Nothobranchius furzeri: one gene and its partner. The protein of the gene in region 1 binds, or shares a complex with, the protein of each later gene. Links are inferred from orthologs where the notes say so. Each region holds a gene or a part of one and is shown on either strand. Other genes may lie near its edges.

Evidence for each region.
Region 2: rtraf (region 1) and zbtb8os share a complex: the UniProt entries of both Homo sapiens proteins name them as parts of the tRNA-splicing ligase complex. The link is inferred for Nothobranchius furzeri from reciprocal best matches to the Homo sapiens genes RTRAF and ZBTB8OS.

The regions. Positions count from the first base shown.
Region 1 is NC_091754.1:55,851,368-55,855,277, forward strand, and holds the start of rtraf (RNA transcription, translation and transport factor protein), read left to right. Parts: upstream 1-801; 5' UTR 802-923; coding exon 924-984; intron 985-1,394; coding exon 1,395-1,519; intron 1,520-1,681; coding exon 1,682-1,781; intron 1,782-1,999; coding exon 2,000-2,080; intron 2,081-2,166; coding exon 2,167-2,255; intron 2,256-2,339; coding exon 2,340-2,408; intron 2,409-3,726; coding exon 3,727-3,775; intron 3,776-3,854; coding exon 3,855-3,910. Other genes in the region: histone deacetylase complex subunit SAP18, read left to right, coding at 1-5. UniProt on the Homo sapiens protein: RNA-binding protein involved in modulation of mRNA transcription by Polymerase II. Component of the tRNA-splicing ligase complex and is required for tRNA ligation.
Region 2 is NC_091758.1:34,389,137-34,393,029, reverse strand, and holds zbtb8os (protein archease), read left to right. Parts: upstream 1-1,448; 5' UTR 1,449-1,564; coding exon 1,565-1,646; intron 1,647-1,803; coding exon 1,804-1,828; intron 1,829-1,908; coding exon 1,909-2,030; intron 2,031-2,153; coding exon 2,154-2,236; intron 2,237-2,385; coding exon 2,386-2,438; intron 2,439-2,514; coding exon 2,515-2,551; intron 2,552-2,639; coding exon 2,640-2,726; 3' UTR 2,727-3,080; downstream 3,081-3,893. Other genes in the region: histone-binding protein RBBP4, read right to left, coding at 104-249, 324-471, 907-922. UniProt on the Homo sapiens protein: Component of the tRNA-splicing ligase complex required to facilitate the enzymatic turnover of catalytic subunit RTCB. Together with DDX1, acts by facilitating the guanylylation of RTCB, a key intermediate step in tRNA ligation.

The DNA of each region.
Region 1 (3,910 bases):
TCTGAACGCACATGAAGCGATACATCTGTTTTTGGGTTCTCTTGAGTAGTTTAGCCTCATTTTATAATTCTTCATGTTTAATAAAGCTGTTTTTTCCCTATAGACTGTTGTTGAGTAGTTAATATCAATAATGTGTGTTTGTGAAGAGTTAATTTGCAAAAACAGACCAGTTTTGATCAAACATACCAAACTCACTTGAATGATAATCCTTAATTTAAAAAGTTTTTTTTTTTTTTTTTTTTGCAAATTTGTATAGAGACTTCTCTGTTTCGTTATATAAACTATGTATTTAAGTTAAGGTGCCATCTCCACATTTGACCCATCGCCATAGGGATGGGTGAGCTGTAATTATGGCTGTGCTCAGGAACCAGTTGGTGGTTTAACCCCCAATCCAACCATTTTAAAGTTGAGTGTCAAGCAAGGAGGCATTGGGTCCCATTCTTAAAGTCTTTGGTGTGACACGACTGGGATTTGAACCCCGAATTCCAGACAGGGCGGACACACTACCACTAGACCACTGAGCTGGTATTAAGTCATTTTAAAGAAAAAGATAGACCACGGATAACGTTATTTCAAGCTCTTTGGTGTCTACAAGCTTAAAGTAATGGACGTATGCTTCAACAAACTCAAATGTGGGTATTTGAAAAAGAGACAATGGCAAAGGTCCCCTTTTTCCTGGCCTCTCCATACACTTCCTTTACTAAACCAGTTCGTTCCTTCAGAGTAGCATCCATCCTGTGACGTAATAAGACACTTGTTTCAGATGTGAATTCGTTGTTAGCTCTTATTTTGGAAAGCACAACCGGAAATACTCAACTCCGACAACGCATGCGCGCTGCCGCACACTGAGCTAGCAACGTAGTGGTCATTTAAGGTTTAATTATTTAGAAACAACGAAGGGTTTCACATTAAAACTTCGTGAAATGTTTCGCAGAAAACTAACAGCTCTAGATTATCACGATCCCAGCGGGTTCGACTGCTCAGGTAAGCAATAAACAGGCTGTTTAGGAGGTTCGGTGAGTTTTAATGGAACCAAGTTAGCACGAAGTCCTGAGGCGGCGAACTAAACGCTACAAATAGACTATTTTAAGGTTGTGCTCAGTTTTAGTAGCACACGTGTTTTATCAGCTTTAATATCTTCATAAATCAATCAAAAACACACCACATGTGTATTCGGCATTAATATTTGTAAGATAGCTTCATTTCTAGGGATGTATTTTGCTAGTCTAGCAGACTAAACGATGACCGTGTGTCTCATTGGGCTATATTTATCAGTTAAACAGCTGGACTCCTTTGCTTCACTAATTATCAGAGTGTATAACAGCAGATGGTGATTAAAAAAATTATGTGTTTTCATAAAACCAGTAAAATAGTGACGCATCCGCTTTTGTCAGATGAAACTCACTTCAGAAACTGCATCGTGTGGCTGGAGGACCAGAAGATCCGACACTACAAGATCGAAGACCGGGGCAACCTTAGGAACATCCCCAGCTCTGAGTGGCCCAAAGCCTATGAGAAGGTGAGACTATCTCAGAGCTTATCTCCTAACAAGAGTCCCAACTAGAGCTTACGTGTGTGTGTGTGTGTGTGTGTGCGCGTGTGCGTGCGTGTGTGTGTGTGTGTGTGTGTGTGTGTGTGTGTGTGTGTGTGTGTGTGTGTGTGTGTGTGTGTGTGTGTGTAGTACCTGCAGGACCTGACCTGTCCATTTGGAGTCCAGGAGCGTAAGGAGGCTTTGGACTGGTTACTGGGGCTGGCTGTGCGTTATGAATATGGAGACAACGGTATCTGATGTGATCGTTTATCTGTAAAAACCTCCTAAAATGATATTTATTCAGAAATCACAGCTTTGATGTGGCGTGTCAATGGTTGAAATACCGACCACGACCAATAGAGGGGGCCATAACAAAGGAAATAATGCCAACACGCATAGAAAGCTGAATTATAATTAGGTTATTATATGATGGCGTTTTTTCCTTATTCTGGGTGTTTTGTTTTGTAGTTGATAAGTATAAAAACTGCCCGCCGCTGGCCGCTTCGGGGAACGGCGACAGAGCCGTGGATCCTCTCATCAACCTGGACAGTAAGCAGGAACACATCTTTGCTGTTACTACCTTTTAACGTTTCATTCATCACCTAAAGGTCTAATAAAAAATAAATACATTTCAGGCAGTTCTCCAGATTTTAAAGCAGGAGTCACCGCTCTGGCGAACATTCTAAAGATCCAACGACACGACGATTACCTGGTCATGCTCAAGGTGAGCTGTATGCGTGTCTACATCATCCCTGAATGTGCTCAAGTTGTTTACTTTGTGACGTTTCCTAATGTTTTCACTCGGCAGGCTATCCGCATCCTGATCCAGGAGAGACTTTCACCAGAGGCCATCACAAAAGCCAACCAGAACAGAGAGGTACACGTTACACTGTAAAACAGCAACAAACTAGTCAATTAAACAGAAATGGTAGAATTAGCTAAAATGGTCAAGAAAATGACCTTATTAGTCTTGAAGATAACGTTAAACATTTTTCTGTGTTTCTGTGAACAGTTAGTATCTTACCAGCTGTAGGGAGTTCTTTGAATGGCCTCAGTTTGGAGAAAGAGTTTGCAATTTTTAAAACGCTCTAGTTAAAAATATATCAGTTATTAAATAATAATAATAATAATTTACTAGGGTTGTCAGAAAATATTGATATGGCAATATATCGTGATATTTTTTTCAGTGATATATCGATTTTCAAAAGTGGTGTATCGAAAATATCGATATCGCAATATATTGCGGTATAGTTTTCTGCGATATATCGATATTCAAAAGCAGTGTATCTAATTTTTGGAAGAATTTACATACAAACATTTGTGTATTTTCATTTCTTTTGGTGCAATTCAAACGCCGATCACTAGTTGGCAGCAGTGTGCCAGTGGGTTTTGTTTCCACCGTTGAAATGCAAATCCCTCCATTATGGTTCAGATACCTCATGTTAAACATGTTAGTATCGGTTTGGATTGTTTGTTGAATTTCACTATGATAAATTCAGTCTAAAAAAAGTCGTTAATATCGAATGTATCGCAATATATCGTGATGTATTGTATCGTCTTCCCTGTATCATGATGTGTATCGTATCGCCGTAATTTCACCAATACACACCCCTATTATTTACACACATGGTGCTTCTGGCTGGCTTTTCATAATATTTCTGCTTAAACAGTTGTCCTCAATTCTTTTCAGTGATGTCAAGGTACGTGTTGAATATGGCTTCTACTTACGTGGACTCTCAAGCCGCCCCGCCTCACTAATTGAGAACCACTGTGCTAGATTAACTACAAAACATGACATTTATGACAGTATTAATTGTAAAAAAGTATTTGCATGATTTAGAGATTGTAGTTATTTTAAGACATTTTATAATTAGCCTCATTTTGACTAGCTGCTAGCTTGTCACAATTAGCTAATCTCCATTTCTCTAAACTGAGGGTTTTCAAAGGCCTTTCCACAACAACTAGACGACATTTAACCAGAAACACTCTTCAGAAGTCCTGAGCTGTTCTATGATTTTTTTTGAGTGTACACACTATAAAAATGTCACGTGAAGTCTTTATTTATTTATTTTCTTAGCCCATGTTGTTTCATTTAAATCGATGATCAGTAAATCTGAAAGAAAACATTTTGTTCTGGATCACCTTCAGCTTGTGATTCTGATCTTTAAGCTTCATACTTTCTCTTTTGTCCCCAGGGAGTCCCGGTGGCTTTAGACAAACACGTTTTGGGTTTTGACACTGGAGGTGAGTTTTTGTGTTTGGCTACCACAACACCCATCGGTGTAGAAGAGAAAAACTGACCTCCGTGGTTCTCCGACCTCAGATGCGACCCTGAACGAGGCGGCCCAGATCCTGCGCCTGCTGCACATCGAGGAGCTA
Region 2 (3,893 bases), on another chromosome or scaffold:
CTGAAACAAAAGAGAACATGTCACTAAACCATTCACTGTAACAGATCCATTAATCAGCCCCTGTAGCCAACTAGACGTGCATGGCGCATTTTCGCCTTTTCACCTCCTTTTTCGCTGTCGTAGTGTGAAGCATCAAACTGGGCATCGTCGTTTGGAAGCTGAACACTGGCAATTACAAGGTGATTCTGCTCATCAGATGTGTGAGTCCCCAGAACCAGCCGATGCACACTATAATCCTTTCCCTCTGGTCTGTGGAGAGCGACGTGGATTACACAAAAATGCAGTTTCCTTGCATTTGCATAAGTGTAAAAGCACATTCTCACCTGGTGACGTCTGGCAGCCACTGAGCAGTGAGACTGGGCCACTCCAGGGCATGAGTCATGACCAGATCATAGAGGAAAGGGGTGTTCTTCTTCCAGATCTTGTACTCTTCATTGATCACCCTTTCTTCCACAGCGTCATCAAAAGCAGCTGCATAAAAAAACAACAACCAACATTAAAGTCATCCCTGCAAATCACCAATATGAACATAGAACTCTGAGAGGGAACAAAAACCATAGTATCATTTCGGTTATGTCAACCGAATAGTTCACTTGTCAAATTAGCATAATGGTTACCATATTAGCTAATTTTACAAATAAAATATAACAAGCATACGAGGAATGTAATCAAAATTACTACAAAACACTTATATACGCTAAATATATAAATCCGTGATCTGTATATTTGATGTTCCAAGTCCCGTGTCGCCAACGCGTTAGCGGCTACTAGCTAGCATGCCGCTAACAATGAAAGATTCTAGCTGCGCGCGAACCGTTGCCGGTCCACCCGGATTTGGGTTTTAAGCGTTCAATACGAAAAACCTTTCCACCTAATCCCGTAGTGACGATAGACTAACGCTCTTACCGTCTTTATCGGCCATTGCACCGTAGCTAATTAGCTGATTCAGGCTAAAAATGTGTTATTTTGGGGAAGAACGCACAGAACACAGCACGACAGCCCTGCAATGGCGCCAACTCCATAGAACAGGACTAGCCAACCAGCATACAGTAAAGTCGATCGGAAGTCTGACGTACACACGCTACTACTTCCGGAACGTCAATTTGATTACATGGGACATGGCAGCTCGGAATTTAGAAGTCGGGTAAACAAATTGGATTTGTGAGCAGGTGGACCTGTCCATTTACCTTACATTTTTAATTGAACTAGTATAACACAAATCTAAACTAAAGTAAACAATAAAGGAAAAATATTTTCCAATTTCTAATCAATTAGCCTACAACAGAAAAATAAATGATCATAGCCACTTTTGTAGAAAATTGTTTCTGTTTGTGTTAATACTGTAACTGATATTAGTTCTTTCTAATAAAAGATGCAAAATAAATTTGATGACGGAGTATATATTTTTATTCACTTACACTTTGTATTGTACAGACGTAAACGCGGACAATAGAATATACGAGCCACAACTTTGGACTTTGAACGCAGCATTTTCCTTTTCTTACGCTAACATGGTGTAAGGCAGAAATAGTCACTTTAAACGTTTAAAAGGCTTAAAACTACAATGGAAGACCGTGAACTAGATTTGACAGATGATCAGAAAGCTATTAAAGCTAAATACCCGCCGATCAACAAGAAATATGAATGTAAGTACGAAATAATGATACAGCAAGTTGTTAGCTTAGCTGTTTTCCTCATGTAACAGTGGAAGAAAGTCTTCAACTTTTCAAATGAAGTTGTTGAATGTAATCATCATAGCTGTTTCTTTTCAGTAAATTGATGTCAGCCTGTGTTTTATTTCAGACCTGGATCACACAGCTGATGTACAGTGAGTGTCTCATTCCCCGTGCTGTGCAATGTTTGCTGCTCAGTAATCACAGTAAGAATATTTACATATTCATTTTAAAGAATCCACTCCTGGGGAGACTCTTTGGAGGAAGCCTTTGAGCAGTGTGCCATGGGGATGTTTGGCTACATGACGGACACAGAGACCGTGGAACCGATCGATACGGTGGAAGTGGAATCAGAAGGTGGGGATCGTTATCGGATGATCAGTTTATTGTGTTTTAGTTTTGCCGCTGATCAATGTACGTCATGCTGGTTTAACATGTGTAAAACACCTAAACAATCAATCTGCTTGTTCTGTTTCAAAGGTGAAGATATGGAGTCCCTTCTTTTCCACTTTTTAGACGACTGGTTATACAAGTTCTGTGCAGATCTTTTCTTTATTCCCAGGGTGAGTCTCTTGAATAGTTGTGAATACTTGTCCCCGCTAGCTTTGAAACATGCTCCGTCATGCTGGTTTCTTAAGCCATGGAGCAGTTTCCACATCACAAGTGTGAACTAAAGTAATCTAGTTAAACACGTCTTTTATTTGTTTATTAGGAGATCAAAGTTTTGTCCATTGACAGGATGCAGTTCAAAATTCGCTCTATTGGGTAAGTTTAGAATATTCAGTTAAACAAACCAGTTTGTATTTTTTATTTCCAACTCTTTCTATTTCCTTTTTTAAAGGTGGGGTGAAGAATTTTCTCTAGCAAAGCATCCGCAGGTAGGCCATGGAAGAAACTTTATTGTGAAAAGTGAGATTGGAAGAGACTATTGTTACTCATTTGTCCTGCTGTATGCCGTCTTTCAAGGGAACTGAGGTGAAAGCCATCACATACTCTGCAATGCAGATCCACGACAAAGAAAAACCAGAAATATTTGCTATCATTGATATCTGAAGATGCCTCAGACCGCACAGCAGACCTGGTTGACTGGAACTGAATGATCTACACAGCCATTTAACGTGGTCTTTGTATTTGAAGCACTGATTACTAAATAGGAAAATCTGTTTTTATATTGATGGAAGCTCTCTGTAAGATCATTTTAGAAGGTTTCATATCTGATAGATGCATTGACTTAGAAAAAAAACAAATTGAATGTAAATAATGTAAGAATTGGTATACTGAAAGTACATTTGATTAAAAAATTAAAATGTTGATATATGCTAATTAAAAATAATTACGTTGAATAATGTGACAAATTTCTGTTCATGACGTCTGATTTAATGTAAATAAATCAGTGAATGTTTGGGATTGATGGTTGACCCCCTTGGAATAATAGAATAATTGTTCAAGTTAAGACACTGACTTAAGCTAACTCGCACCTAATGGTGGAAAATGACCCAAGCAGAAAAGGGGAAAAGCAGTTATATAAAAATACTAGAAAAGTTTTCCCGGGAACTTGGCACTGATAAAATGATGCTCTGGTCATCAGGCAGCAGGAAAGGGGTTTGGAGATAAACTTTCAATGCACACCATTTGTGGAGTACCCCAAGGCTTTGTTTTTGGTTAACTCCTGTTTTCACTATACACTCACTGGCCACTTTATTGAGTACACCTGACCAACTGCTTATTAACACAAATTACTAATCAGCCAATCACATGGTGGCAACTCATTGTATTTAGGCACGTTGACATGGTCAAGACGATCCGCTGCAGTTCAAACTGAGCTTCAGAATAGGGAAGAAAGGTGATTTAAGGGACTTTGAACGTGGCATGGTTGTTGGTGCCAGATGGACTGCTCTTGAGTGTTTCAGAAACTTCTGATCTTCTGGGATTGTCACGCACAACCATCTCTACAGTCTGCAGAGAATAGTCCAAAAAAGAGAAAACATCCAGTGAGTGTCAGTTCTGTTGGTGTAAATGCCAGAGGTCAGAAGAGAATGGCCAAACTGGTTCGAGCTGATAGAAAGGCAATGGTAACTCAAATAAACACTCGTTACAACCAAGGAATGTAGAATAGCATCTCTGAATGCACAACACGTCAAACCTTGAGGCAGATGGACTACAGCAGCAGAAGACCATACTGGGTGCCACTTCTGTCAGCTAAGAACAGGAAACAGAGGC